Caenorhabditis elegans: one gene and its partners. The main gene of each other region encodes a partner of the protein of the gene in region 2 in a complex. Each region holds a gene or a part of one and is shown on either strand. Other genes may lie near its edges. The genes, in order: sdc-1, sdc-3 and sdc-2.

Region 1 (12,301 bases), on a different chromosome or scaffold from region 2:
ATGGAATATATTTTTTACTTTTGTTTTGATTTAATAAAAGTAAGTTTTGTCTTCAAAAATAAAATGTTTTCTGTTCAAGAAAATACGGAAACCCCCGTTTTTCAACACCGGTTTTTATCAAATTCCCATTTTCAAACAGTCCGTTAGCGAAAGTGACTCGGTCGATTTTCAAAATTTTTCACTTTTTTGTGTCTCCATGAATAGATCTTTAAGGTTTGATCAAAAAATTCAAGTTACTAACAGCCAGTTTTAAAATTCACCTCAAACCGAGGTAATTAAACCAACTCGAGTGGTGCGCTGGCTGCGTTTGCGTGCAAAACATAGTGGTCCACGCTAGCCCAGATTTTGTCGGCAGCACATTTCGCATATATCCGCGCTCTCACAAGTCCTCCTTAAAGGAGTAAGACTACTAATATGTTCTTACGTAGTGGATGGAGCTTTCCTTTTGTATATATTTATGCACTGCTCCCCACTACTAAATTTTGGATGGTTCATCGAAAGATGCGCCAAAAATAGATACAAATAAACAAAAGGAAGTCCTGTTTCAATGCTTTATTGAAAAATTCAGTGATTCTTTTTGTAATTCAAAGAAAAGATTTTCTTTGATTTTGTGTTTTTTTTTCAAAATTTTTCACTCTCCCCATGAATAGATCTTTAAGGTTTAATCAAAAAATTCGAGTTACTGACGGTCAGTTTTAAAATTCACCTCAAACCGAGGTAATTAAACCGACTCGAGTGGTGCGCTGACTGCTATTGCGTGCAAAGCATACTGGCCCACGCTAGCCCAGATTTTGTCGGCGGCGCATTTTGCATATGTCCGCGCTCTCACAAGTCTTCCTTAAAGGAGTAAGACTGCTAATATGTTCTTACGTAGTGGATGGAGCTTCCCTTTTGTATATATTTATGTACTGCTCCCCACTACTAAATTTTGGATGGCTCATCGAAAGATGCGCCAAAAATAGCTACAAATAAACAAAAGGAAGTCCTGTTTCAATGCTTTATTGAAACATTTAGTGATTTTTTTTGTAATTCGAAGAAAACATTTTCTTTGATTTTGAGTGTTTCCCAATTAATTGGAAAAATTAACCCTTTCACGGACGTGTCTTTATTTTTCGTAAATTTAGTTTCTTTTTCTCTAAAAAACCACCACCTATGGAAAAAATAAGTTTAGTTTACTCGGGTTTTTCCGTCCATTTTTCCTTATTTTTTTCCTCACGGGGAGGCAAAAAAAAGGAAAACTTTGAAAAATCACGTTTGAGAAATTTCCATTGTGGATAAGTATACAAGGATGGAACACTGATATCTTCAATTTCAAAATAAAAGTCATGAACTAATGGCAGTTTCTCTTCTCCGTTGTGGTCTAGTAGTTAGGATTTATGGCTCTCACCCATAAGGCCGGGGTTCGATTCCCCGCAACGGAATATATTTTTTGTTTTTGTTTCTGATTTAATAAAATTAATTCTGTCTTCAAAAATAAAATGATTCTGCTGTTCAAGAAATACGAATACCCCCGTTCCTTAACACCGATTTTCATCAAATTCCCATTTTTAAACGGTTCGTCCGCGAAAGTGACTTGGTCGGTTTTCAAATATTTTCACTTTTTTATGTCCCCATGAATAGATCTTTAAGGTTTAACCGAAAAAATTGAGTTACTGGCAGCCAATTGCAAAATTTACCTCAAACCGAGGTAATTAAACCGACTCGAGTGGTGCGCTGACTGCTTTTGCGTGCAAAGCATACTGGCCCACGCTAGCCCAAATTTTGTCGGCAGCACATTTCGCATATATCCGCACTCTCACATCTTATTTTTTAAGTAATAAGGGTACTAATATGCTCTTACGTAGTGAATGGAGATTTCCTTTTGTACATAATTATGCACTGCTCCCCACTACTAAATTTTGGATGGCTCATCAAGAGATGGGCCAAAAATAATTTCAAACTCACTGAAAGTGTCTTTTCTCTATTGAGGAACACAGTATGTTGTTATTAATAAATTTGCTCACATTCTCCGAAATAAATGTGAATTTGTTTGCTTCTGTTCTTCGAAATAAAGATCAATATATAATGAGTGCTTATCACCTCCGTTGTTGTCTAGTGGTTAGGATTTATGGCTCTCACCCATAAGGCCGGGGTTCGATTCCCCGCAACAAATTTTGTATGGCTAATCGAGGGCCAAAAATAACTTCCGATTAACTGAAAGTGTCTCTTTAGGATTTGTAAAATTTTAATGTGAGTTTTTCGAAATTCAAAAGAGAACAATTTTCTAAATCAGTTGAAGGAGGACTAACGGTTCGGACAATTTTGAACGTATAGACTCAAAATGAGCTCAAATAAACGAATTTCGTAATGAAGCTTCTCAAAAAAAATTCCAAAATTTTGAACCGCCATAAAAAAGTTTTGAAAATTTTTTGAGCAGTTTCATTACAAAACTCGTTCATTTGAGCTTATTTTGGGTCCATACGTTCAAAATCATCCGAACCGTTAGTCCTCCTTTAAGGACATATCTCTATTTTAAAATTATTTATCATGTTTCTCATTAAAATCAATATGTTTTTGGGAAAAGTTCAATTTTTAAAGTCACCGAAAAATGAAAACGAACATAATTTTGGAGCCACATATGATATATGGGTCTTCGAAAAACTTTCTGTTTTAGAGTTCCTATTTTTGAACAAGAACCCATTTTGAGGTACACAGTATGCTGTAAATGTTAATTTTGCTTACATTCTCCGAAATAGATGTGAATTTGTTTTCTTCTGTTTTTTGAAATAAAAATCAATATATAATTACCGCTATATGACCGCCATAAATAGTTTTGTAAAATCATTAATAAAAATTTCATTACCAAATTTGTTCCTTTCAACAAGTATTGATTTTATACGTTCAGAATACCCCGAGATTTCCCGTTAGTCATTGTTTCATTTATTCCAGAGTTGACCTGATTGAACGCACGCAACGCACTTTTTCTCTCTCGCCACACTTTGGAAGTGAGAGACGCAGCAAGAGATGTCTTCTCTGCCGTGCAGTGTTGTCGTGAAAAGGACGACAGAAAAAAGAGTGTGTGGAGGTGAGAGGGTGGGAGGGGTGTGAGACGGTTGTCCGTAAACACTCGCGCAAAAACGCGGGAAAATTTTTCTGGAGGAGGCCGTGCTGCACAGGTAAAAACCTTTTTAATTCGATCAAAACAATTTTATAAATTTGTTCGATTGGATTTTTCACGGAGATTTTTCCGCGGTGCTTTTATTTTTTTTTTGATTTGCTGTTATTGTTTGAACTGACTTCTAAATTTTGATCTCTTTTACTTTTCGATTCTATTTCCCTTAAATGACAATTATAACTTTGGAACATTTTCAGCAGTATGTCGGATGAAGAAGATATAGATGAAAGCTTTGAAATCGAAGAGGACGGAATTTCAATCACAGATGCCAGAGGGTAAGTTGTTGTTGTTTTTTTTTTTTTTTTTTTTATTTCCTTGGTGGCTTGTCCCAATGTCCAGTAGGAAAAAAGGACATGTATCATTATAAAACTGTTTAAAAATTTTCACATTTCCAAAGCTTTCCAAGCCCTAATTAATCCAACAAATTCTTGTTTAGAAACAGTCTGAAAGCGCAACAAATTGCTGGTAAAGAACGAAATTTGGATCCAGAAGCCGATGATTTGGAGGTAGTCGTCAATTTCTACGAAGCAGGCGACGGAACATTCCAACTACAACTGCCCAAACTAACAGCTGTGAAACCAGTGGATAAAGTCAATGATGTACTGGACTTTATCAATTTTGACAAGAAAGTATGCGATGGAATCCATTCATCAATCAAATTAGTTTCACGTAAGTTTAACTGCATGGTAACTAGAATTAATTCGTATTGTTGGTTGCGGGACAGTAGTAGATTTTTGCCAAAACCAAAAATTAATTTAACCGGGTTGAAACATTTTTGAAAAATATTTTTACAAAGTTTCCAGATGTTGAGAATTGAAAAATTTACCTACGATTTTTTTTTCACAAAACCTACGATTTAAAATAATTTTTTTTAAAGCTATTTGGAGTTAGGGTGTCTCATTTCAGTGTGATCTACTTAAATCTACACACAATGCGGGAGTTGAAACGCAGAGTTCTCAACCAATTTTGCATAGTTAAGAACGTGTTGACGTCACACTTTTTGGACAAAAAATTCCCGTATTTTTTTTAGATCAAACCGTGATGGGGCAGCTTGACACTACGTGTATACATAAAATCCATTATTGGGCCTTACTTTACTATATAATTTTCAGAACGAGATCAGACGGGACCAGCACCGTTTCCGAAGCATAAGCTGACGTGCGCCCATTGCGACTGGTCGTTCGACAATGTGATGAAGCTTGTCCGTCACCGAGGTGTTCACAAGAATGTGGGAGTCTACATGTGTCAAGTGTGCCTCACACTGTTTGGACACACCTATAATCTGTTTATGCATTGGCGGACATCGTGTAGCCAGACATCGACAACTGCCACGGATATCGAGATACAAGTAAGCACAAGTTGGTATTTTGAAACTAATGAATCCCCAAGCTCCAGAAAGCAGAAACGCCGTACCTTCATCGCAATGTGCTCAATGTTTTGGGCTCACTGAACCGAGCGTCGCAATACTACTGCACTGGTGGTTATGTATTTCTGCCGTCGGATTGGTGCATCACAAATAAGGAAATTGTTATGGAAAAGGATCATATGTCGTCGTGTCATTTATGTCACCTGCCTGTACCAAATAAATTTCTCGAAGCTCACGGAAATGTGCATCGGGGGCGATTTCGAATCGATGGACGTATCTACGGCGACTACTTTTGTCATATTTGTGGAACAGTTTTCATGTAGGTTTTTCGACATTTTTTTTCAAAAAATTGAAAGAACACTGAAATTTCAGAGAACAAGATAATCTATTCAAGCATTGGCGTTTGCATTGTGAAGAGGTTATTGCCTACACACCAGTCGACCAATATCTATCAAATACGGAGCTCGCCACACTCGCTTGGCTCGTCCTTCAAACGACAATCTCACAAGCCGATATTGAATGCTTGAGGGTCAGCTCGTCGCTGATCACTGAAAAATTGGCAAAAGAGCACGCGGAGAGACACGGAATCGCCAATAGTATGCACAAGTATTATCACTTTCCACAGGAGATTTGGCCCCTCAAAACGTTTGTCAATTTGGATTTGGTTAATGATGCGATTCCGATTTCAGGAGAAAATTCATTTGTGAGCACTTTTTTTCCATTTTACTTTGAGATTTGTATTATTTTCTAGCAAAACATTATTGGCGGGTCGTTTTAGAACCTATTTTGGAGGCAGGTAGGCACGTTTTCAGGGCCTACCGAAAATAGCAGATTCTGAGCTACGTTGTACATACCTACTTGCCTACTTTCCTTTCTGCCTACCAAAATTTTTATATTTTTTTTCACTGAAATTCAATCTTTTTTTTCAGAAGATAAAAGATCCCAAACGCCCAGTGCACATAATGAACTTGCTCGCTACGGCGTGTCCGGGCTTTTACGCAACAGGAAAGACGTTCAACATGATTTGCAGTACGAAAAAATCGGAATCAGACACGAAAAAGGTGTATCGCGTCATATTGAGATATACGACAGAGGGATCCGTTATTCAATCGGTAATTTGATTTGTGCTTTTTTTCGAAAAATTTTTTTCAGATTTTTCAGCACTTTTAGCTAGACGTTTGGGTATTAGCCAGTTTTAAGAAACTTAGCAATGATCAAACTTTTAATTCAAAATTTTGAATAATGAGAAATTTATTGGAAAGCTTTATGATAATCCAAATTCACTTTTTTTTTCTTCCAGTACGATTTCACGGCTCGCTCATTCCCCAAACTCCGCGTGGACTCGGAAACGCCAGAAGGTGTTTTTAGCCATCCGCTGGCCGATTTCAATGTGGAATCGAACGAGGCGATCGTGTGTCACAAGTGTGATAGTAAAAAGTTGACAATCACGTTCTCGACGGAAGTACGGTTGAAGTATCATCTGCTTCGACATTCGGAGTCACGAAAAGACGGTTATCATTGTGCGATTTGCAAGATTATGTGAGTTTGTATTGAATAAAACAATGTTGATTAGTTTGAGAGTGAGAATTGGATTTTAAAAATCTTCACAATTTTTCTTTATTTTTTGACCACTTCCGAATTGGCTAAGTAATTCCAACAGACGGTAAACGTTTGCATAAATGAAAGTTAATTTCAGAGTATACAATCGTAGTCATGAGGAGCACTGGATCAATGATTGTATTCCGCTCCAGAAATTGTATAGAGATCAAAAGGACCGAGAGTGCTTCGACGCAGAATTTGCTGCAAAATGTGCGAGCATCATAAAAAAGCTCAGAATACGAACATTGATTCGATGGAAGGAACGAGCGAACGAGGACTGGGTGGAGACGAAGCAGACGCCTGATCGTATCGGAGAAGATTTTGCTATAAAATTCCAAGTTGGTACCACTGCTCTGAAGACGCTGATGGCCGGGCTCGAGGAGCATTATAAAAATGCTCAGGCTAGACATGAGGCGTATAAGTACAGCGAGGAAAACTTTTTGCCGCCACTTTCGACGCCGGTCGTTGTATGCTTTCATTGTGGTAAGTGGCTCACCGTAATAGGAATGAAGAAAAATACAAAAAAAAGTTATTCGATCTTTTTTGTGAAAATCTGAAAGTTTAATTCTCTTCCTCTCTCTCTTTTTTAGTTTCTCCTCAAAACACCTTTTTCAGGCACCCGCTGTCATTATACGCTACTTCACGACCACCTTGATTATTGCCACTATTGGCCGCGTAACAAACGATTAGTCAATGAAGAATTTCATAAATGGAAGAAGAACGGCTGTCGAAATACGTGGCGAGTTATGGTAAGGGAGATTATTTGTGTTCTAGATATTATTAATTTTAATGAATTTAATGAAAATGATTGAAAACAATTTTTTAAAGTGGTGGGAGAAAGGTGTATGCATTTTTTTGGTTTTGCCACAGCTTTTAATTTTTCAATTATGTGCATATGTTTGAAGGCGGTTAATATTCAAAACAGGGGTGGGCGGCAATTGCCGTTCTGCAAATTGATTTGCCGACAAATTCTGCAAATCGGCAAATTACCGGTTTTCCGATTTGCCGGAAATTTTTAATTCCGGCGATTTTCCAGTTTGCCGATTTGCAGGAAATTCTTATTTTTGCCAAATTGCCGGTTTGCCGTTTGCCGGATATCAGATTTGCCGGAAATGTTTAGAGGGATTTTTCATAAGACGGAAACACTTAAAACTGTCTTTTCGAAAATTTTTCCGTTTTTTCTATACATTTTCATAGAATTTGCTTACTTTTCAAAATAAATGTAAGAAGATCATAGGATGCGTTTAATTTTGCCATTTGAAATTGAAATTCTGAAATTTCCGAAAGAATAAGTGCGAAACCACAGTTTGCCAAAATTTTTTCGCAAATTCGACAAATCGGCAATTTGCCGATTTGCCGACGTGCCGGAAGTTTCAATTCCGGCAATTTTCCGGCGTGCCGATTTGCCGGAAAAAATTGTTTGCCGCACACCCCTGATTCAAAAGCTTAGCTCTTTTTTTGGTTAACAAACTTAAATATATATTTTTTCAGAAAAGTGTAGCTGAAGCAATGCAAATTGAAGTGCCGTTCATATCTGAGGAGCAATACTCAAAGGTACAGTTTTTGGGGAATAATTTATCAGTATAATGAACAGAAAATAAAAAAAATAGCAAAAAATTCTGAGGTTCATATTTTTCAATGATCATTTCCAGATACTCGACTACCACACCTACTTTTGCAACGACACACGCTACAAGGTTCAGGACTCAATCAACAATTGGAACGATTGCTCAACAATTCGAGACGTTGATTTGTCCGAAAAACTTTCAGTTGCTGAAATTGTGCAAAAGGGCGAGGACTCAGTGATGGCTCCAGAACCTGATATAATCAAAAATGTTTACTTTCCGTCTGCTCGTATTATTACAGATAATATGCTGTTGCGAATGACAGAGGTATAGAATTTTTTGATCATTTTTTAAAATAGTTTTTTTTAGATAGACGATACGATTTTAAATATTTTTCTAGTAACAATTGGTAAATTCTGAGATTATAGCGGAATTAAACCTTTTTTTTTAAATTTCCTAAGAAACTTTTTAAGAAGGCACACTATGAAATTTACCTATTTGGTGCCTATCTGAGTAAAATGAAACCAAAAAAATATATACATATACACATTTCAGATAAACTTGAATGATGTCGTGCAGCGAGACCCAATCACCAAAGAGGAACTAACGGGAAAATTCAAGGAAGTTCAAGACGAGCAAGACGCGATTCTGTTTGGTGACTACCGTGCTGTTTTGCGATCGAAGGGTATTATGGTCAATTCGATTTCGGATTTTGTTGCTCCTCCAGATGAGCTTGCGAAAGCAAAAGCATCCCAGGAGTCTGCTGGTCAAGAAAGTGTGGATCATAGGAATCGAAGGGAACGAGAATTTATTCAACAGTATATGGGTAAAGATCTGGCACTCGAGGCGGCCGCCCGCGAAAATGGGAGACTCGTCGAGGTTGACGAAGAGGCGGAAGATTATGAACTGACTCCGAAGGAGCTCAACGCTCGAAGACTCGTCGAACGGAATCGTCACCGAGAGATGTGCAAAACGAGGTGTGAGCATGGCGAGTATGACTATGAAAAGTTCAAGGCGAGGCAAGTGCCCATTAATCCGGCAAAAATGAAGGAGCGGAAATATCTGACTCGTGTGGTACACGAGAGCGGCCCGGATGATGATGTGTGCCCAGATGAGCCGGAGAATAACATCATCGCGTTCTCACCAAAATATGAAAATTCGCTCAGCGACTTTCGCATAAGTGCAATTGGTTTCCGCGAAAAGTATTTGGCGGACGATAAAAAGAAGAGAAATGGAATTCCGATTCGAAAAATGACTGAGGCTCAGAAAGGTGTTGCGCTAGACTACGATACGTTGATGGCGCGACACGGAGGTCGTCCCGACGTGATAATGAACCCGGCCGGAACTGTTTTTGTGGGAGGATTTGTGTTCGATCGGAAACCGACGTGCCAGGATAACATGCAGACTGTTTATGTTCTTCGTAATGGCTATGTGAGTTTGAAAAGTTTAAGTAATGTTGATTTTGTTCCCCGGTTTTTTGAGACAAAATTTGACTGTCACGAGGGACAGGCAGAGAAGTATAATAGAGAAGTGAAGAAAAGCGGAATATTGAGCCTCGATATAAGACAGTCCCTCCTAACCACGTGGTGTCAGACTGCTCCGTTGCGGTTTGACCTACAAAAAATGCGGGAACGTTTTGCCCAAAAAATGTGACGTCAGCACGTTCTGAACCATGCGAGATCAGTTGAGCCCAACTGTGCTTCTCTACTCCCGCATTTTTTGTAGATCTGCGTAGATCAATCCGAAGTGAGACGCTCTGACACCTCGTGCCTAACTATGTAGTTCTGAATTTTGTGAACATTTAGATTTTTCACACAATTTTTTTTCAGGCACACCGGTACCGAATTTATCACTGCGAAGACACGAATGGCATTTACAAATTTGTTTGGCCGCAGGAGCAAAGTTTTGACCCCGATTCGCTTGCAAAAAGTGCTCGAGTCAGAATGGTCAAGCAAGTCAAATGTATGTAATTTGTTAGAAATTCACCTTTTTTAATTTAACATTTGTACAGCACCTGAACACATGATCCATCACATTGAAGAAATTGATGAGTCTATTGGACATAATTACCGACTGAATAGAAAACGGCGAAACTCGGAAACACGTGAACACGAGCTCATTGAACTCGATACGGACGACCTGAATGAGCCGAGTACTAGTGATGGAAGATATAGTTTTGGGCATCACGGATATCGTTGACATGATTGTATTACGAAATATTTAATTTGAATCTCAACTCCTTTCTACGATCTTTTTTCTTTTACGTGTGGAAAAATATCATAAAATTTGATCTTTCATTAAAAACTCTATTTTTCTTTTTAAAACTCAAGCTATAAACATTATTTTTCATTTTGAGTTCCTAAAAACTTTTTTTGAATTTTTCAATTATTTTTGAAATTAAGCTTGAAAATCATGATTATGAATCAAGAAAAAAAGTATAGCACAGGGTTTGTGAGTCTGTGGCGCCGCTTGATGCGTGTCTTATTGTATAATTAGTACTAAACGTGGTGAGTGGATATTTCAGGGAACATTTTTGTACAACTAACTCATTGCTCTTAGAGTTTCAATAAAGTTAAGAATCTGCCGGAAAACTTACACAGTTTACTTTTTTATTGTGAATCCTTCCAAAAAATCAAGTAAAGCACTTGAAAAAAGCAGAAGCAGAATCAATTGAGCAGGCAGGAAAACACTTATCATAAATTTCTTAATGATAAGAGTCCACAAGCATTCCTATGTTGGTAACGTTGACTTTCCAATTGCTAAGTTCGACATGGCTGGAAATCAAATTTTTGTAAATGTAGATTGCCTAAAAGTAGCTTACTTTTCTGTTACGGGAACCTTCTTGATAATTCTTTGGACTTTCCGAATGGTGTTGTTTAGACTGGAGCAGTTGTGGGTTATAAACATAGTGATGTCATAATAGTCCTGGAGCAGTTTAAAATAATTTTTTATAAAATGATATTTATTTTGGAGACCTACGCTGAAAATACCATCTCCGTCTTCTTCGCCTTTAAGATCGAAATCGGACTCCTGTTCGCTAGTACAACGGGCATCTTTGTAATCTAGTACATCTTTTTTGCTGAAAAAGGCAATTAGAAACATGTGGAGAATATGTGTTGGTAACTTGCTCAGAGTGAATATTAAAAAGTATGTGGCTTTAGTCTTTCAGAAACAGTAAATGTATTTTTATTTAAAACCAAAGTTGTAATGTTTCTTCTGAGTTTTAAATTGTTGCAGTTGGCCAAATTGGCCAATTTTATCGAAAAAAATTCGGTATTTTGGAAAAGGCTCGACCAAACTATTCTTAAAATTTTTAAGTTTTTAATTCCACTCACAACAAGTAGTCAGGGTCATGAAAGACATATTTTCAAATTCTGCTGGTGGAAATTCGTTTTCAGTAGGGCGTATTTAAACAGTCAAACCCTCAGAAAATAGGCGGAGCCGAGTTTTTAGATCTCCTAGATATTTCGTGGCATTTCAAAGCAGCCAGTTGAAAAAAATGGATACCTCTATTTTTCACCCGTTTCTCTCAAAGATTTCTCAGATAAATATATATTGAAGAATGTGAAATGTAAAAGTTGATGAATGTTTTTGAGAACCTACCGAAGTCTTTTTTTGAAATGGCCGGAAGAAAAGACATTTGTCAACGAGAGCTCATCAATTACGTCTTATGTGTGCAGGAGATTAAGAAAAATCTGCACATGCCTCTCTATCCCTCAAAAATGTGGCTCCGGGGGGTGTTCAAAACTTTTTTAAAGTACCGTCAAGTGAGAGGTCATAGTTGATAACATAACTTCTCACATTTTCAGAGTTCTTTTTTTTTATGTAACATTTTTATAGCACCTGAACAAGGGGTCCATCATACTGAAGAGCCTGATGAACGATATTTTTTATGTTACGTGCTAAAAATATCACTAAAAAAAAAAAATCTTCTACTAAAAACTAATATTTTTAAATTCAAGTTATAAGCATTGTTTCTCATTTTAATTTCCTAAAAACTTTCTTTATGTCGTTCTAATTTGAAAAAGAGAAAAAATGTTTTCAAAAACACATTAAAAATAGGCACTTATTTATTTTTGTCCAGATGTTGGTATAATAAGGGAATGTGAAAGTTCACAATACAAACGCTTCACGTTACAAGTACAGAAACGTTGAAAATGTGGAAAGCCGCTCACATGTTTTCTCAATGTTATTTATTTACAAATCAAGCAAAAAAATATATTCCGTTGCGGGGAATCGAACCCCGGCCTTATGGGTGAGAGCCATAAATCCTAACCACTAGACCACAACGGAGAAGAGAAACTGCCATTAGTTCATGACTTTTATTTTGAAATTGAAGATATCAGTGTTCCATCCTTGTATACTTATCCACAATGGAAATTTCTCAAACGTGATTTTTCAAAGTTGTCCTTTTTTTTGCCTCCCCGTGAGGAAAAAAATAAGGAAAAATGGACGGAAAAACCCGAGTAAACTAAACTTATTTTTTCCATAGGTGATGGTTTTTTAGAGAAAAAGAAACTAAATTTACGAAAAATAAAGACACGTCCGTGAAAGGGTTAATTTTTCCAATTAATTGGGAAACACTCAAAATCAAAGAAAATGTTTTCTTCGAATTAC
Region 2 (9,337 bases):
TATTACAATTTCCCTAATAAAATGTCAACATCAATTGATGAACTGTAAGTACTGTTTTCCAAATTCTAATTTTCCAAAACTCCAAAAAACTTAGGTCAAAAACCGCTTCACCATCTTTCTCCGAGTTGCCAATTGAACTGGTAGGTGAAGTTTTGAACAAGTTGGATCCAATTGACAGGTAAGATTCTTGCGTTGTTAAGCTTTTTCTGTCTTAAAAGTGTAATAGCACCGGTAGGAAATGGTAAAATACAACTCGTTTGGTGCCAAAATGATTGAATTTTTTTTACAGTCAAAAAGTGACTTGATCTTTTTCGAGAAAAAAATCATACAAAACTTAGAAATTTTTTTTTGGAATTTTTTACTCTGATATTTGACCATTGTGGTGCGACAGGCATGTTTTAAAACAATTTCCCCACTGGTCCCCCTCCACATTTAAATGTTTTTACTCAAACAAAAATTCACCGAATAATTGTGCCTGTTTTCAAAATTTCAGCAAGGTGTACGCTTAAATACTCAAAGTTTTTCCAGACTTATTGCCTGGAAAGTTTCGTCCAAATTTCAAAAGATCCTTATGGTCATGGAACCTGGTTTCAAAGAAATCAAAGTCGATTTCATTGAAAGAAATGTGCACCTAATTCTCGATGGCAATGTTTTACAGTACAAACCCACAAAAACTGGATGCATTGTCAAACGAAATAATCATTTTTCTTCACTAAAAAATCATGATTATATCGAAACTGCCATCAGAGATCTCAGGCTAATTTTCAAACGCCCGAAGCTCGAACTGCACTTATTTAGTGTAATCATAGAAATTCTTTATAAAAAGGAAGAACGAGATCGTCTATATATGTTTTTAACGGAGCTTATGAGAAGAGTGGAACCAATCAATACAAAAACAATAAGCTTTACTCGTATGCATTGTGAAGAAATGAAATCCATTTTGTCATTGTTGAATGCAAACAATATTGAGAAAATTGAGTTGAATTTTCATCATGGAATACTTTTGGAAAATTATCTTGCACAGTTGGAACAGTGGAAAAATGCCAAAGAATTGTGTGCCAGTGCTGTTTTTGCAGGCTTTTACACCTCAATTGAGAACTTATTCAATTTTCGAAAATTTGAAATCAATCTGGAGACTTTTACTGTAGCGGATGCTGTTAAAATTAAAAATGTAAGTTTATTCATATAACAAGTAGTCTAAAACTTGTTTCAGATCCTTCTTAATTCTGCCAACTTCAACTACTGCAAAATCGAATATTCTATGCAATTTGTGGCACATCGATTCGAAGTTGCAAGGCTTTTTCAACCAAGCAACACAAATGGAAATTTGGATTATTTTGCTTACAAATGCTCTGGAGGGAATTATATCATATTCCTTGATGATTACCATCTTGAGATTCAAAGAGAAAATGATGAAAGCTAGAAATCAAATTTGTTGAAAAATTTTTTATTTGTTGCTTTTGTAGAATAAAAAAAAATAGGTGAAGAGTAGTCTAGATTTGGAAACAAAAATTATGAACTTAACAGCAAATAAGCTTCCGTCGTGTTTTTCTATAATATTTTAATTATATAAGAAACAGTTTTTTAATAAAAACAATCAAGCGCATTGTATATCCACTGAAAAAACTTTGTTGTAGGACCCGGATTTTTTGGTTTCTAGAGTTTTGAGGGACAAAAGGCGTTATGTTCAAGTTTTTACAAAAACTCTTAGGCTGGGTTTTTGAACAAAATAGAACTTTTTCAAGTAAACAATACTTAGCTCTATATTCAAATAACGAGATCAACTTTCATAAAAATAAAGTTCAAACTCAAAAGTCAAAGACTCGCATGAAAAATGGAACGGTAGTCATACTCTGGCTATCATGTCCGTGCGGCGCACACAAACTTTTTCCGCCTCTTACACCGTATTCATCACCTCCTTTGAAGATGATCTTTGCCGTAGTGGTGTCTCACAGGATCTCGCAACGTAAACTGATATCTTATGAGGGAAGAACAAATAAGTGTAGAGAGGGGCAAAAGACATACAGTAGCTAGATCTGGACATGAAGAAAATGAGCATTGTGTAAAGAGCATGGTTTAAGAAAAAGTGAAACGCGTAAAAACTTGAAGATGACGGTTTGACGATGGTTCGAAATGTGAACATTCAAGAAGTTCACAATTCCATTGTATGCAAAACGTGTTGAAATTTGATTTTTTTTAAATTATAAATGTGAAGTTTTCATCGAAAACTTCCTCTTTCGAATAAAATTAAAAAAAAAAGAATTATTGAAAAAGTGATAGAACTGATGAGTAGTGATATACGCCAGCTCTTCCCAACTAACGAAAATTTTCATTATTTGTCATTTTTTAAGATTAGAAATTTTGTAATATTTTCGTTTTGACGCCGATTCCAAAAGGTCATTATAAAGTATCTAGAGACACAACCTTTGCTCTAAACAGCAATACCAAGCGCCCCAGTCCTCCGCACCTGATCTCTGCAAGTGGTACGACAGATCCACAAGCAAATCGGGAGGGGCCATCCAATCTCGGAGTACCTGTCACCCGGAACGGTTAAAAGCTAGCCTCCGGCCCAAAACAAGGCGAATCGACGCCAGAATTGCGACTTTCAACTGCAGGTCTGTCTCCTCCAACGACAGGCTTGCAGAACTGCTCGAAGAGACGAAGAGAATCAAGTTCGATATTATCGGACTCTCTGAAACAAAAAGAGCAACGGAAAAGCATGCAATTGGCGCCGACGGGGTCGAGATCTTTCTAGGATCTCGAAACCCAAATTCTGTTTCAGGAGGGGTCGGCTTCATCGTCACAAGCACCTCCTCCCCCGAATCACTGAAGTAGTTTTCTCCAAAGTAACATCCATTTCAACATTAATTTGGCGAAACTAGATCAAGTGAAAAGGAGAAAACCCCCGAAAAGAGTTTTGGATAAAGCTACAGCTCTGGCTGTCAGCGCAACAATTACTGCCCCTGCTCATGGAGATATTGATGAGGACTACAAGATCCTTGTCGACTCTCTCAAAACAGCCCAGGATCAATCAGTAATTCAACCATCCATCCACTCCGCCAACCGACTCTCGGAGGAAACTCGACAAATGCTCTTCAAAAGACGTCTTATGGACAGATCAGACCCAAATTTTAAGTAACTATCTATAAAATGTAGGGAAGCAGTCGAGAGAGACCATGAGAACTTTGCCAGTGCCCGCCTGCTAAAAAAAACTGAGTGACAACTGGGTGACAACTGAGTGATTTTTTTGAATCCTTATACTAGAAGGCCGAAGTAGCTAATAATTGAATGCTTTTATACACTCACGGTTCACTATAAGTCACGCATATAAAACTTACAAAAAATCGTAAATTGACAAAATAAGTCAATAGTAAATTATTTGCCGACCTAATATTACATTTCAAAATGTTGGCAAGTAACATCTCGGGTATTACACTCTCGTGGGAATCTCCAAAATGTTTCCATAGTTACTCACTCCATTACACTTTCAAAAAATCATAAACTGAACCAACTCTTCTCTCTCCACTTGCTCACACGCATGAATGTTTAGTTTTCAGAAGAAAGGTCAGGTCACTTGCCATCCAGATACGGTGGATTTTTAACAGCTCGCGCGTCCGTATGCTAGTCTTACATCTATCGATTCGTATATGCATATTTTTGTGTTAATTAGTTTTGTCAGGTTTTTCAAAACTGACTCTTGTGACAATTAGTTTCTGTTTCCATAGTTACTCACTCGTTAAACTTTCCAGAAATCATAACCCATAAAATATGACAAGTTATGTTAATTTTCTCTGTGGGTCTCGTCCTGATATCTAGCAGATTTCATCATTTGAAGCAATTAAAAATCTAAAATTTCTGATTTGATTAACACTTATTTTTCTTGAGCCAGAACTCAAAAACGGGATTTTATTTAAAAATTTGACTTTTTGCAATCTTTTAAAAATGGACATTTTCAAGAAACTTTCCAAGAAATTTTCAATTTTTGGCCTCTGATTTGAAAGTATGTAGAGACTTTTTTCTTCTGCTCAATTTTTTTTCTAGTTACCATAACCCTATTTTGAAATCAGTTATCTAAAACACTAGATGCACCCATGTGTTGTCCTCTTCTCTTTCCTCTTCATGTGTCTTTCCATCTCTACGTCTCAATCTCTAACACACTCTCTCCATCTCCCCCTCTCGAGATGTTGCGAACTACGCTAGTTGCCTTATAATTTTGAATGTGAGATTTTCCCGCGCTCATTTTGATTAATTCTTTTTTTATTTGCTTTCAAGATTAAATTCAATTTCAGAGAAAAAAAACAAGAGCCACTGGTAAATGAGAAGTTTTGGTTTCCGGGGATCCCGATTCCCAAATCACATTTAATCACTTCCTCTGCATATTTATTCAAAAAGTGAGTTTTTATGTTTTAAAATATTGTGAATAATTTTTATCAAAATTAAAATATAATACTTGAAGTGAAAAAAAACGGAAAAATATTATTTAAATGTGAAATAAAAATCTTGAAAGTAAAAATTCGAAAAGTTCTGAAATTTTCAAATTTTATCGCTCATTTCTAGTCATATCAAAACGTTATCAACTACAAAAAATTAGACAATAATATTATACAATTTTTTTAGTTGAAACTTTTTGATATCTTGTGAAACAAGCGAGACATAAGCTGTCAAAGTTTAAAAATCTTAAAATTTAATTTTCAGAGCATTAGAAATGTCTGACGAACCACCAATAGTGCTCCCAACTGAAGAAGATGGCCCATTCTCCAACTGTGTATCGATTGCATTTGTCAATGACAAGAGCATACCCGTGGAGCTACGAATTCGAAAAGCTATTCGTGGAAAAGTCACGTTCACTCAGGAACTTGTAGTCGCTGCACGTAGATTGTACCTGGATGGAGAGTTAGAAAGACCTGATCTCAGTGAGTTTATTTTTGTTGAAAAAAACTGATAGAAACAAAATAGAAATAGCATTCGATTCTACAAAAGCTGAATGAAAATATACATAAAATATTAAATTATTTTACACCTAATTTTTTTTTGAAAAAGTCGTCAACTGAAGTCATTTTTTAACACAAATAATATTCAAAAATATTCATTAAAACCGCAACAAGAAAACGCACTCTAGGAAAGCGACAGAAAAGGCAATTAAAATCCCTCGCCCAGATGGAAGCTGTTAAATAATTATCTCAAAATATGCAAATTTTTTGGTAAACATTTACATATTTTTCATTTTTAAAATTTCAAATAAAGTGTTTTTAATGGTTTAAAGTTGAAATTCCAATTTTTTAAATGTAAAATGTCAACTAAAAAAGACATTAAAATCCAAAAAATACATAAAAATATATAGAAAATGTGTTAATATTATGACAACTAATTGGAATCGTGCGAGGGCGAGTAAAGGGGCGATTACGATGCAACATGCATCATACATTCTAAATTTAATTTATTTCAGACTACCACGTTGCCGCCGACTTCTATGATCCATTTATGATCCCGGTACCAGATCACCGTAATTGGGAGTATAACCCTTTATATCCTCGGGAGTGGCGTAAGCTCAATATTTCTTTGGTTCTCCCTAGAAAAATAAATTTTCAGCTAGACTAATTGATAGAGATCTCGTCCAAAAGATCAAGATGTCCAATACGTACAAAAAGAACCAGGCGAGAAGGAAAAGACGACGACTATTAAGAATCTTCCATAGGAAACGAGGTGGAGAGTTTTTGAACTATTTATGGCATTCGAAGGAGAATGTGAGTTAACTTTTTTTTTAACTAAAAAATTTGAAAAACCTCTTAATCTTCCAGGACGTGCACTACAAACGGTATATGGCCGCCTATCAATTTCCTCTTCCATTCGAGAAATGTATCAGGGATGTAGTGAGAGAAGAGCTTAAAGATCCCGAAACATCATTTTCTAAACCACCATCAGTGGTACATCATTCGAAGATTCGACCAGCCACGCCTGATTTGTTAAAGTTGGCGAAATATCTTGGAAAGGATCGGTTTTGCTTTATTGTGACACCATTTAAATTTCGATCTCAATTCCGTTTACGTTACTACAAGAAATCTCCATTCAAACGTTCAAATATTCTTGAGAAATGGTTAAAGTTCAAAAAAGGTAAGGTTCTGATTTTTGCTTATTAATTAACTTTATCAAATTTTGTAAAATATCACACTTATAGTTAGCATGTTTTTCTTTCAATAATTTCAAATACTGTGAAAAACAAATTTCAATGCTGTAAAAATATGTTGCTCCCCAAAGTAAACTTGAGATCTAACTTCATACATGTTTTAGTGAGAGATCAAGGTGTGTTCAACATTCGAGATGCCGCTCGTGAAGTGAAGAAGCTACTTCAAAGGAAAAACGTCTACCATATGACAGACCCGCAATGTGAGCAGGAGTTCTGGGATGTATACAGACTTCAAATGCAATGGCGTAAGTTTTTGAGCACTTTTTAAAATTACGGCCTGTTTAGAGATTAAAAAATTTTGTGAATATATTATTCAATTTCAAATTTTTTCTTTTTCCCATTCTATTTCGCGGTTTCGGTATCAAACTTATTATAAGAGTGTTTAGGAATAGGCAACGATTTTAGAAACTTTCTGGAACAATTTAATTTTCTGAAAAATTTAAAATTAAAACAATTTCTGGAAAAACTACCCGGATTTGTTTGTCAAAGTTTTGGTAAATTGACAAAACTTCCCATTGACACAGCACCATGTTCAAAACTTTTAATAAAAAGTTATAATATTTTAAGTGGAAGAAGACAACATCGAGGAAAACATCACGATGCTTCGAGAAAATTTATCAAAAGTGACAGACGAGGAATTCAATAGATCCGTGTATATTATGAGACCAGAGAATCGAGCATCTATCCACGACGACGTCACATTCACCACCGATGCCGAAATCAATCTGAAGCCAATTGTTCTGGAACTTTTTCGAAATAATATGCCACTCGAAGATATCAGACAGGTTAAGGAATGTATTGACGACATGATTAACTTGACTGTCTGCCAAGAACTTATACCTCAAGTTGCTACAATTGAGACTGTTCGTGATTATTCTGGAGTTGAACAACATCGTTTAAAGTATATTCGCCCAGAAAATGAGCTGGAGATAATGTTCCAATTAGCTACCGTTCTTGTAAAAAACGAGAATACTCATGATCAAGAAATCACTTCTCCAATGTTTGCACTGCTTCGAACAGAACAATATTTGTGGTCAATTCCACTTCGACCATTTCTTCGAATGTACACTGACTGGAGGAAAACTAAACTTAATTTCAAAAAGTTTAGAAAATTCTCCCCGGAATTAGTCTCCAAAGCACCAATTGACTTATTCAAAGTGTTCCTCACAACTAATATGGATAAGAAAGGAGTTGCCACAAAAGACACGGACTGCTTTGATTACAGGACAGCATCTGAAATAAAGAAGCTTTACCATGAAGAGTTTATCAGAGTCCGACCAATTATAGAACATCAGCGTTTTCACAGATGTTACACCTCTGTAATTACCGAAGAGCCATTACCAAATCCATTCTATTGGGTACATAGGGGCCAATGGGAAAAAGTTTATGAATGTAATTGGAAGCAACGGGTTAAACCGCTAGCAGGTAGATTTTCATGGAAGACTAAACACCCGAATATTTGTGATCTACCACGACTGGAGAAGGATGATAAACAGGAAATGGAGATGTTGGCTAAGATGAGAGAGAAGATTCGAGAGTATAATAAAGAGAAAGAGAAACATCCTTTCTACGTTTCTTCCAGTCTTCCCGAGTTCGCAAGCACATCTGACTTTGTGAAATTTCCCATTTCAAACACAGGAATAAAATATACTGCACCTAGAAGAAACCAGCCAAAAGTTCAACGTTCACTTGTGACTTACACAAGGTTTCGCCTCGCGGAGTTGGAAGACAAGGATTTCTCATTCCCAGAAGAGAAGATGCTTGAGAAGAATCGGCTTTTGGAAAAATTGAACTTTGAAGAGCGACTGCAACTTGATGCATTGATGTCGAAAGATGTGAAGTACAAGCCTCGAATGATCCCCGAGAAGGGATTTCTGCAGTTGCAAGATGAAAAGTTGATTCTAAAAAGATTATGTGAAAAGGAAGATGAATGGTCTGGAAAGCAGAAAAGACGATTCCCAGATCTATACGAGCAAGCAACTCAAGAAGCGGAGCGTCTAGGTGACCCTGATGCAAGTACCAGCGGTACCAGCAACAAGGAACTCGGCCTTCTTCCTGTCTGGAAGCACGACGATTTTCGTGATTTGAAAAAAATCAATGTTCTAGGATCCAAAGAGTATCCCATCAGTAGCCCTTATCTTATCAAGAGATTGCACTATGACATTCACCTGGAAATAGTCAGAGATAAACTCAAGTCATGGATATACAGAACGGAATTATGGGAGAAGATGAAGCCCGTCTACGAACGATTGAAAAGGGATAAGGAAAAGCGTGAGAAAGAGTGGCATGAGATGAGAGCTGCACAAAGGGCACAGAAAGAGAAAGAGGAAGAAGATCAGCGTCGCATGGATATGGGTATAGAGCATGGTCAGGAAAGTTTATTGAAAAGCATTACCCCAGAAGTGGAGCAACAAATACTACTCCCCATATCCAGAGAAAATAGTTTTGAAGAAATGCTTCCAGCTCCGCAAGAAGCATATGATGAAGATCTTGATCAAGATATAGACATTCATTTCGACGGTGCTGAATCAGTATGTACTGGAATTCGTCTTGACTCGGAAGATCGTGAGCTTGTGGACTCTCCTGATCAAGTTGAGAATGAGGAGCCAGAGAGAGTTGAAGCAGTAACTGAGAATATTCGACAAGAAATGTCGGACGCAGAAATGAGAGATCTGATGAGGAAGAAACGAGAACAATACTCTATGCTTTTCCCAAATGTACCACAGCCATTCCAACCGTTGAATCGATTTGACGTGACGGCTCCCGGAGCAGGAATCGTTCCCCCGTATGATGAAGCACCCGATTTTGATCTGTCCGCTTACTTGGAAGAGGATCATGTGAGGATTCCAACATTGTCGACAGTAGAGATAAATTCACTTTTAAAAGATCAGGATTTAGTTGAGGAGCAAGAAATAGTTGAAGAAGAAGAAACACCACTTGTTGTGGAAGAGCCTGATATTCCTGCGGCTCCTGTTCTATCGGCCGAAGAGAAAGCGTCAAGGATTTCTCGCGAGATGTCTGCACTTCGGAAACTTCCTGATGCAGCTTTCAACTATGCAAGTGATAGAGATGGCGTTGTAGTGGAAGAAGTGGAAACAATAGAAGAGATTCAAGAAATCTATAATGATAAATTGGAGAAGATGATCGCAGCTC
Region 3 (9,380 bases), on a different chromosome or scaffold from region 2:
AAACCTTGCATGACTACGAAGAAGACTTTGCTTCAGCAAACTAGTATCAATTGATATAACAGTTTTTGGTGTTGCAAGATGCTTTTTCTTAGTGTTCTCTCGCATTTTCTCTTCAATGAAGTTTACAGTGGATTGTGAAACGCCGTCAAAAACTGCGCACTTTTTGAATTGGAAATCCCACTTTCGCTTGGACTGAAGACCATTTTCACCATCTTGAATGTTGAATGTGAAACAATTAGCCATGTTTTCGAAGAGTTTATTCAGTTGCTCGTTTACGGCCATCCGGTTCTCATTGCTCTGAAAATTACGAAAAACTTTTTAGAATCAGATTTTCAAAAAAACCCACTTCAATGGATGATGTGAAATATCTGCATGTTTGTTCAATTGGCACATCGTAATGGATAGTGAGTACGTCAATCAGTTTCTGTAATATACGAATTTAAAATTATATTACTACAGCGACTGCGCACCCGAAATAAGCGTATCAAAATATACTAAATCATTTTTTAAACGCAAATGCTGAATGATTTCATTACTTTTTTGCAAGAAACTAAGTATCAAATTATTTCCATACCTCGGCTTTTCTCAGTAGCATCGATTTGATATCTAGGCGTTCGAATTCGGTTCGTGCTTCTTGGTACTTTTCATTTAGTGGATCTCTAGAAATTGTTAGAAGTGTAAGCTCGTGGTCGTCTAGGAGTATTTGGAAATCTTTTTCGGTTTGCTCATTCTCTTTGGCAATGGGCAGCGGCCCAAACATATCTTTGAGCGTCGATACTCGTTTAATTTCTTCGATTTTTCTTTCCAACTCAAGTGCTTTTCTGGTACGTTCTTCTTGTAGTTTTCTTTCATTTTCTTTCTCAATTTCTGCTTTCAATTTTTCAGCTTCTCGGAGTTGTTCCAAACGTTTCCGTTCTTCCTCTTCTTCTCGCTTCAAACGCTCCTGTTCACGTTCTCGTTCAGCTTTACGCAATCTTTCCAACCGCATTTTTTCCTCCTCTTCTTCCCTCACTCTTCGAGAAATAAGAATAGTCTCCATTTCGATCCTCTCTTCTTCTTGTTGCTGTCGAATTCTTTCGGCTTCACGTACCTTCTCGAGGCGTAAACCTTCTTCTAACATTCTGTCCACTTTTTCCTGCAATGCAACACGTTCCTCACGTCGTCGTATCATACCTCTTCTATCTTCCTCTTCAAAACGCTTCCTTTTTCTTACTTCATCTTCACGCCGCAACCGCTGAATTGTTTCGGGGTCAACTTGTTTTTGAGTCGTCCTTTTTTCAAGCCTTCTGGTGCTAGCCATCATTCTTCTCTGTTCGGCATATTTATCGGCAAGTTTTCTTCTTGATTCTCTTCGTTTTTCTTCTCGTCTGGCCAATGCTGCCTGACTTCTTTTGTCCATAGGAACTGTTTTCAACGTCTTGGCCAGTTGTCTTTCCCTATTTCTCTCGTATTCCTCTAAACTTTCATTTAATTTACTCTGGCGAATGCTTTGTGAAATTTCAAAATGAAGTTCCTTATCAAGAGGATCCAAATCCATGTAGTCGTTGTACATTTTATCAACATTATTCTGCACATCTTTCCTTGCTGATTCCAAACAGAGTCGTCCCGACATTTTCTGATGTGAAAGCATCTCGATCGCCAAGTACGCTGGGCTAGGAAGAATACCGTTATCACTAGGCTCAAGGTTCTCCAGTAGTTCTCGGCGAGCAATATTAGCGTCATATACAGCTTGTGCAATGTCATTGGCGGTCCGTATGCTTGCACTCTGAAAGAATACTTATTCAGTTGATATGTATTAACAACGTTTTGCCTATGACGTATTTGACTTTTAGATTTTAATTTACTAATTAAAACAAAATTCCTTACCTTTCTTATCACGCATTTAAAGAAAACAAAAGTATCTTACCTCAAAACCTGTAGCACGGGTGATAACATCTTTCACAACACCAAATACTTCGGTAATCAGTTGTTTGTCCCCTGGCCCATAGACTTGTGGAATATTGTAGGTTCGGAATCTGTGAGGGAAGCGAATTGCATCTGCAAAATTATTAGTTATTGATTATTTCAAACAAGTCAATCTCACTTTTGGTTCGCGCAATTTCCTTAGTTCCACACGGCAATATTTTATCATAGCATCTGTACATTTCTGTAAACGCGCAGCCGTTTGCTTGTAACATTGTGTATCGAACGGAATGTTTATGGTATATTCTATTCATCTTTCTTTTCCTCTTTTTGAGTGGCGGTAGAGAGCGATCAATCATTTTTTGTTGATGGAACCATGAAACATCAAGGAACATTTTTTCACGGTACTGGTAGTCAATGAAAACTGAATCAGATGACGTTGATCGCATTAACTTTGACGGCTTCTGGAATACGTTTTCACTGTCACTTAAATATCCTTCAAATTCGGAGTCGACGCTGAAAAAATTTCATAAGGCAATTTTTGAGCAATGGATAAACATACTCGGAAGGTACACCCTCAATTTCGAAATTGTTTTGTTGCATTGCTGCATCATATCTTGTCTTCGATTTTCTTCCAGGCTTTTTCTTTGCAGGCTCGTTGACAATTTGTTTTTTCGCACGTGGAACAACGTAACTTGGATCGTACAGTTTAATGCGGTAATTAAGTAAATCTTTCCGTGTAAAGAACTTCATTCCGTCATTTTGGTTTGTTTTTACCAGGGGCCTTGCAATAATTTTTTCTGGTTTTTTTGAATCACCAATTATTCTGGTTATTCTAGAAGAACATTCTGATAGCTCATGCCTGACATCTTCTTGTTCCATTTCAGCCACTCCATCAGCATTGCAACCAATGGAAATTTGATAGTTGTTTGGTATTTTGTCAAATTCAAATGTGTACACATCTCCCGATGACGTCAGAACTCCCGATTCCATGTAATCCGAATTGAAAACTCTTAGACGCTCAGAATCGATTTCTTCTGTGACGACTTTTGCTCCACCGGTAATAATTAGAAAAGCTGATAGATAGTCTTTATTACTGGTTGCTCGACCGTGCTGAAAGAAAATAATAAGGTACAGTTTGACGTTTGTGGCTTACATCGTAAAAGGTCCGTAATCCAAACTTTACAGCAAAAGATTTTGCATCCATGTTTGACTGCTCGATCTGAAATGGAACACACTTTTTATAATAAAAATTGCAATTTGTAACTTTTAAAACTTACAAGATAAACAATTTCTTTTAGAGTGATTGGTTGGAGCATTGATTTGTTCTTTGAAAGAAAATCGAAAACCGGGCGATTGCATCGAAGTATCTCAGAAAGATGTAGATTATAAACAATGGTCTTGTCAAATGCGACTCTTAGTCTACTTTCCCACCTGCAAAATTTCAAATTTAAACGTACAAAACTTTGATTCAAAAAACTTACTGTTCGTATTCCGTGTAAAGTGGGAAACATATTAAATTAAACATATCGACCAAATAACGTTTTCTCGGACAGCATATTCCACTTTCATCATATTCAGGAAACTTATTCTCCCAGACTACAAAGAATCCATGAATATGACGGCCAATACGATGAAATTTGTGAAGCTCTTTAGCCGATATTGTTCCAACTTGAAATTCAACGGGAGGGGCGATGCTGCGGCTGAAAATAAATTTTATAAATATATTTCTGATGATATTTCTGATTGTTTTTAGATGAAAACAATATTTATAAAACTTTGAGCAAGCGATAGCGCTTTAGAGTTTTTAAAACTTGTCGCAAACTCAGTTTTCATCACTTTCCGACTCGAAATAAATAAATTTCCAAAATTTTTTAGAAGGTTTTATGATATTTGGATTTTTAACTACCATAGAAAAGGTGTTCATAATTTCTCAACTGAGCGTACTTCATCTTTAAACGGTTTCAGAATAGAAACAAAATTAAAGAGAAAGAAGCCACGCGTTGCCATAGAAAATGTAAAAAAAATTGCAGCTTAAAGCTACATTTGTGTGTGTTTCAGTTATTTATCAGTCTCAATTCAAATGTTCGAATAATTTTGTTCTCGTCTTGTTCAAATAAAAACTATATTTTTAGAAGCTCAACTTACTAGGTTATATTATGATATTCGTCTTGAGCTTCTTCAAAACGCATCATCAAGTAGTGCTCTTGCTGTTGAACTGTAACGGCATCTTGTGGAAAATATCCACATTCCAAAGTTGGAGGGACGAAGAGTTCAGGAAGATCCGATGAACGGTTCATACGAAGCGAAATTGAATGCTTCTGCATGAGGAACTCTCTGACAAAATAAGATGAGTCGGGGATAACATCATTGTTTTGCCGTTTCTGTAATAAGAATTGAGATGTTCAGATAAATAATTGACTACTTACCGAGTTTAAACGAATACGCAGTTGAACATTAATTTTTTCAAGTTCTGAAGATTGGTTCTTGGGAAATAGTGAATGGTGTTTGTAGAGAACTGGATCATCAGAAATTGATAATACTGGGGTTTTTGGCATTGCAACATAACCGTTCACTGCTCTCTCGTAATGACTCTTAGAAGCTTTCCACCACCCGGTTTGATATTTTAGGCGTTTTTGCTTGCCGGAATGTTTCTTCAATGCATTTTCAAACTGCAACATTTTCACAGATCCATCGTATTCAACCGCAGTTGCTACAATTTGTTCACGAAACTGGTCGCACTTTGGGGAAACAAGTTTGCCAGCTTGGAGATACTGTTCGATCGTTTTTGATAAAGTAGATTCTTTCACTCTTCCAAACTCAGTTTCTTCACCTTCCAAATGATACTGCGGAATTGTGTGTGACATAATGTTACGTGTCACTCGAGTCCGTTTCTGTTCAACTACTTTACCATCATCAGTTACAGCTGGCTTCATGCGATAATTGACAGGTCTTGGGTGATCGTGAACAACTTCTGCTACCAGTTTTGATGTTTTTGCGGTGGATCCACTCTCTATACTCAGATGTTTTGGCAGTTTTCTTCGAGGTTTCTTTACAGCTGGCTTTACAGGTAGAGGAGGAAGTTCAATTATATCGTCTTCTTCTTCAAAACACTCTTCTTCTTCATGACGGTATGCGTTGCGCAAGTGTTCTTCTAATTCCTGTTCGTTTCCATTTTCTTCTATTGTTATATTCAAAAATTCCTGTTCATCCATCTCGAAATCTCCGAGTTCACTAGTACCTCTACTTGATCCAATGAAATGAGTATCTGAAGTAATTCTGATTGCTCCGTCTGGTATCTCATCCTCGTCAATAATGACATCAGAGTCGTTTGATGAAATGTTGCGTTTAACTCTTCCAGGTAAGAAAAACGTGTTTTGCTCGGGAAGTTTCCCAATTTCTGATTGACTATAGTCGCCTGTAGTACTTGCACGTAGATGAACTATGTCATGGATGATAACAACGTCTGGATCAGCTTCATCTGGAGAATCGGACTCGTTGAATGACTCCATTTCACTTTGATTTCCTAGTTCTGATTCATCACTCATAAGTACCGGAAGAGAAAATCACGATTCTGAAAAATAATATATTAGTGAAAATAACGAAAGGTTCTTGAAAAAATTTTTAGACAACGGGCTGTCGCAGAAAAATAAAATTAAAATTAAATGTGTTATGGTAAGCTTTTTGAATTTTTTCAACAAAAAAAAAGTTTTGAAAGAATTAATTTTGAAAATAGTGAAGAGATTGAAAAAAAATTTTTTTGAAAATAATGAAGAGATTGAAGCCTAAAATAACAGAATCTAGAAAAGTAGTCAAAAACAAAAATTGATACTTATTGGTAATTTAGAATTCAAATGCCTTAACCTTTGTGAACTATTCCCTACTTTGTCTTGGTTTCACCAGTCCTGTTTTCTCTAAGTCTCCATTTTCTGTTTAATATGTTGCGAACTGGATGGAGAGAGCCATGGTGGAGAGCGCAAAGAAACGATAGATAGGAATGAGTGGGAAAAAAGGAGAAGACCCAAGAGACATCGACTGAACCTGTGTGGAAAACGAGAGAGTAGAGAGAACAAGGATACACAACTGTGACAGGGGCATGGAGACTCAATAAGAAAGCGGAGGCTGCGTTTAAAGTTATATGGATAAAATAAATTTAAAATATGTTTAGGATAAATAATTTAACTAAAGTTTTTCTAGCTTTGTATAAACGTCAATGTCACGCGCAATTCTGATAAGAAACTCTGCGTAAAGTTTAACCTTGTACAAATGTCGTATACTTTCGATTCGAAAGTAAAAGTGTGAAGCTAGAGGAAAAAAGGAAAATATCACACATATGTTGAAAGAAGTTTCATACAAACATTCAGCAAAAACTCCTACGCAAAATAACATCAATATTAATAAAAATGAAACTAAAGTAAGGTACAGAATAAACAAGTGATTTAGGTATAATTATCGAAAGGGCTCAGGCATCTAATCCGATAAGAGGAAAAGTCAAATTAATAAGTATATGTACAATAACTGCAGATTGTCTTCATCTTCGAATGTGCCAAATTCTATAATGCCGTGAACAGCGCGTCGTTACCGCAGCTCTGACCTCTGCCGTTTTGCGTTGCGCTATGCAGTGATGACCAACGGTCATCTAAACAGCCGGCTGGACAATCGATGATTTTTACGTCATACAAAACGGGGTTGAGTCGCGTAGAAACTGTGCATGAGTCGATATTTAGAAAAATTTATGAACAATTATGTTGACGGGAGAAATGGAAGATGCATACTATCAATGGGAATACATAATGGGTATGTGTAACAAATAATTTTGAACAATTTTAACTGATCCATCGAATATATGTTATATTTTTTAATAATAGGTTGTTCAAAGACCATGTTCCAACAGCAGGAATTTTTTAAAATCAAACTATAAGTAAAACAGTTTAAGTAGTGCATTTTAATAATAATATAACTTTCATGCAATACTATTTTTATGGGTCGTTTTGAGTGCAGGGCTATCAGTGATACAAAACTAATAGATCTTACAAGTAGAGATGCGCCAGAGACATTATGTGAACAACACATTATTATAACCGAAATGCCTTAAATTTTTGAAAATTGTGAAAGCTGCCTTCTAAACCATTTCAAAAGAAAAACATCCATATTGAAAATGCTTCAATTTGTAATAGTTTTTTTTGCCTTTCGAGGTTTCCGTTAAAAATTGCCAATAATGTGTAAATGCTACACTAGGAGCACTAGGAGCTCCATTTTTTCGAAAGTTATAAAATTTTTGTGCCATGCTAAAAAAAATTACAAAATCGTGAAAACTTTTTTCCAATATCCAAATTAGTAACAATTTCAGCTTGTTCTACTTTTTTTGTGATATTCAAATATTTCAGAACTATCAGGAAATGATTTAAACCCTTTTCCTACGGTTGGCGTTTTACTTACAAATACCAAATACACATTGCCATTTCCAGACACTTTTTTGATAAAGACGACCATCTTAAGAGTTGAAAGACCTGTTTTTGGTTTCATAGATGATTTTAATTAATTATTTAAAAACACTTTTGGCTTAAAACATTATTTTTTCAAGAGAGACGGAGAAAGATAAATTTCCATGGCAACATTGTCAGCGCACGAAGATTATACAACCAAGCATAGAGATTGACGAAAGATTTGTTTCCTCTATTTTTATTCACAGTTGAACAAAAATTGTGCATGTTGCTGTAGAAATGGACAGATTATGGAACTATTAGATGAAACGCAGACTGTAGAAAAATAAAAATGGCCCGAAAATAAAAATCAGTAAATATGTTTAACTGTATCTGAAACAAAAAATAAATGATATGTTGAAAAATTTGCCATTAATGTTTTATTAAACCAATTTCAGCCGTATTCTATTATGGCACGAAAAACTAATTTCCCGAGTGTTCACAGGATTGCAAGGAAAAGTTCGATGCCGACCAACAAAACATTAATTTTCGTTATAACTCAAATTCGGTAGGATATTCGAAGATTTGAACATTATTTTTCAAACATATCCATTATATCCAATTCTCGAATTTTTTGGGTATGGCATCACAAAGTCATAGTCCGTTTCTGCGTTTTTCACTGTTTGGAATTGTAACTTTAAAAATGTATCATTTTGTGTCTGATTATTTTTTGCAACTCTTAAAAATTCTTACTTACTAGTTTTGCAATGTAATAATGTGTTATACAAATTACAAATGATATCTAAATAATTATATAATTTTAAATGTATAGAAAACTTTTACTTGTCTCAACATGACAATTTTGTTAGTCAAGCTTCAGTTTCCAGTCAAATAAAACATATCACACTAACAGAAACATTTTGGATAAGTTTTTGATTTAAAATTAAATTTTTATCTTTAATTTGTCATTGTCGTTTTCTCGGGAAATATAGTGTTTATCAAAATTAGAATGTGCGTTTAACTAAAATGTAGGATTTCATCATATTTGTAATTGAGCATTTAATAAGATGTTTTCTTGTGTCTTGAAATAAATTCAGATGTATGAAAAAAACTGTATTCGTTCAGATGACTTAACGTCCTTTCAGAGCAAATATTTTCGGGTACTGGCAGACTGTAAACATTAAAAACATCGACATTCTTTTTCTCTTTGTCACTTTAGCAAATATCATCTGCTATAATTTCCACTGCAAGTGCAATGCTTGTTACCTCCCAACTGGAACACTGACAGGTTAAAAAACTATAAAACGCTTGCTTCAAACAGCATGGAATTCAGTTGGAATATAGACCCATTTCTCTCCCATAATTTTAGTTTAATTTTGAACTTATGTTTCCTTTTCTGACATTAAAATATGTTCTCATGTTCTAAGCGTGTCTAAATGGAAGTCCCCCAATAAGTCACAAAAAATTATTATGCTATCATGTAATGTGTCCGGCAAAGAATCATTTATAAATTTCTCTGCGTTTATCAAAATTAAACGTGCTCCAAAAAGTGTGCTGCGTGTCACATACTATCATACCGGTCGTTTCGAAATTGTTCTCTACCCTCACTTTCCCCTTGTCGTCGTGGTTTATCATCTTACATCAAATGGCAGTTATCATCGGCGCCGTGTTTGCCGTTTGTAGCAGAGTTAAGAGCCCGACTGCTTTTTGAAACCAATCTTCGCGTTTTACTTTTTTTCGCAACAATAATAATAATAATAATGATCTAACAACCTTTTCAAATTTAATTCTCAGCTATTTTAGGTTACCTATTGTTCGTGGATTGGAAAAAAGAACCGAAGAAAAAATGATGGAGACTAGGAATGCCAGTGATAGTAAGTATGACATTAACACATTTCCCAATTCCAGTTTTAAAAAGGTTTGATGGACCAAGTCTTTTCTGCTGTCACGCTTCCTGCTGTTGGACAAACAACTACCATCATGGAGCATCATCAAGAATCTCACACTGTTTTTCACCAAGTAAGAAAATTTTTGAACAGTTATTTTGTTGATATT

Evidence for each region.
Region 1: sdc-3 (region 2) and sdc-1 share a complex: the UniProt entries of both Caenorhabditis elegans proteins name them as parts of the SDC complex.
Region 3: sdc-3 (region 2) and sdc-2 share a complex: the UniProt entries of both Caenorhabditis elegans proteins name them as parts of the SDC complex.

What each region holds. Positions count from the first base shown.
Region 1 is NC_003284.9:16,272,418-16,284,718, forward strand, and holds sdc-1 (C2H2-type domain-containing protein), read left to right. Parts: upstream 1-3,345; 5' UTR 3,346-3,355; coding exon 3,356-3,429; intron 3,430-3,590; coding exon 3,591-3,823; intron 3,824-4,266; coding exon 4,267-4,502; intron 4,503-4,543; coding exon 4,544-4,839; intron 4,840-4,892; coding exon 4,893-5,223; intron 5,224-5,449; coding exon 5,450-5,632; intron 5,633-5,820; coding exon 5,821-6,059; intron 6,060-6,216; coding exon 6,217-6,602; intron 6,603-6,734; coding exon 6,735-6,868; intron 6,869-7,610; coding exon 7,611-7,673; intron 7,674-7,771; coding exon 7,772-8,011; intron 8,012-8,239; coding exon 8,240-9,115; intron 9,116-9,513; coding exon 9,514-9,646; intron 9,647-9,695; coding exon 9,696-9,883; 3' UTR 9,884-10,117; downstream 10,118-12,301. Other genes in the region: F52E10.2 (ACT domain-containing protein), read right to left, coding at 10,389-10,458, 10,506-10,609, 10,664-10,786. UniProt on the Caenorhabditis elegans protein: Embryonic transcription factor regulating downstream genes involved specifically in the sex determination and dosage compensation pathways, or regulating other genes involved in the coordinate control of both processes.
Region 2 is NC_003283.11:15,043,160-15,052,496, reverse strand, and holds the start of sdc-3 (Zinc finger protein sdc-3), read left to right. Parts: upstream 1-4,289; 5' UTR 4,290-4,391; intron 4,392-4,695; 5' UTR 4,696-4,705; coding exon 4,706-4,913; intron 4,914-5,446; coding exon 5,447-5,542; intron 5,543-5,589; coding exon 5,590-5,744; intron 5,745-5,798; coding exon 5,799-6,111; intron 6,112-6,288; coding exon 6,289-6,429; intron 6,430-6,751; coding exon 6,752-9,337. Other genes in the region: fbxa-82 (F-box domain-containing protein), read left to right, coding at 22-44, 95-178, 529-1,171, 1,214-1,423. UniProt on the Caenorhabditis elegans protein: Component of the SDC complex that functions in sex determination and in X chromosome dosage compensation specifically in hermaphrodite (XX) animals.
Region 3 is NC_003284.9:11,518,809-11,528,188, reverse strand, and holds the start of sdc-2 (Sex determination and dosage compensation protein sdc-2), read right to left. Parts: upstream 5,483-9,380; 5' UTR 5,451-5,482; coding exon 4,332-5,450; intron 4,287-4,331; coding exon 4,051-4,286; intron 3,606-4,050; coding exon 3,387-3,605; intron 3,337-3,386; coding exon 3,183-3,336; exon of another isoform or gene 3,125-3,182; coding exon 3,059-3,124; exon of another isoform or gene 3,016-3,058; coding exon 2,465-3,015; exon of another isoform or gene 2,419-2,464; coding exon 2,084-2,418; exon of another isoform or gene 2,038-2,083; coding exon 1,907-2,037; exon of another isoform or gene 1,766-1,906; coding exon 575-1,765; intron 425-574; coding exon 347-424; intron 298-346; coding exon 1-297. Other genes in the region: hpo-34 (ZM domain-containing protein), read left to right, coding at 9,172-9,199, 9,244-9,344. UniProt on the Caenorhabditis elegans protein: Component of the SDC complex that functions in sex determination and in X chromosome dosage compensation specifically in hermaphrodite (XX) animals.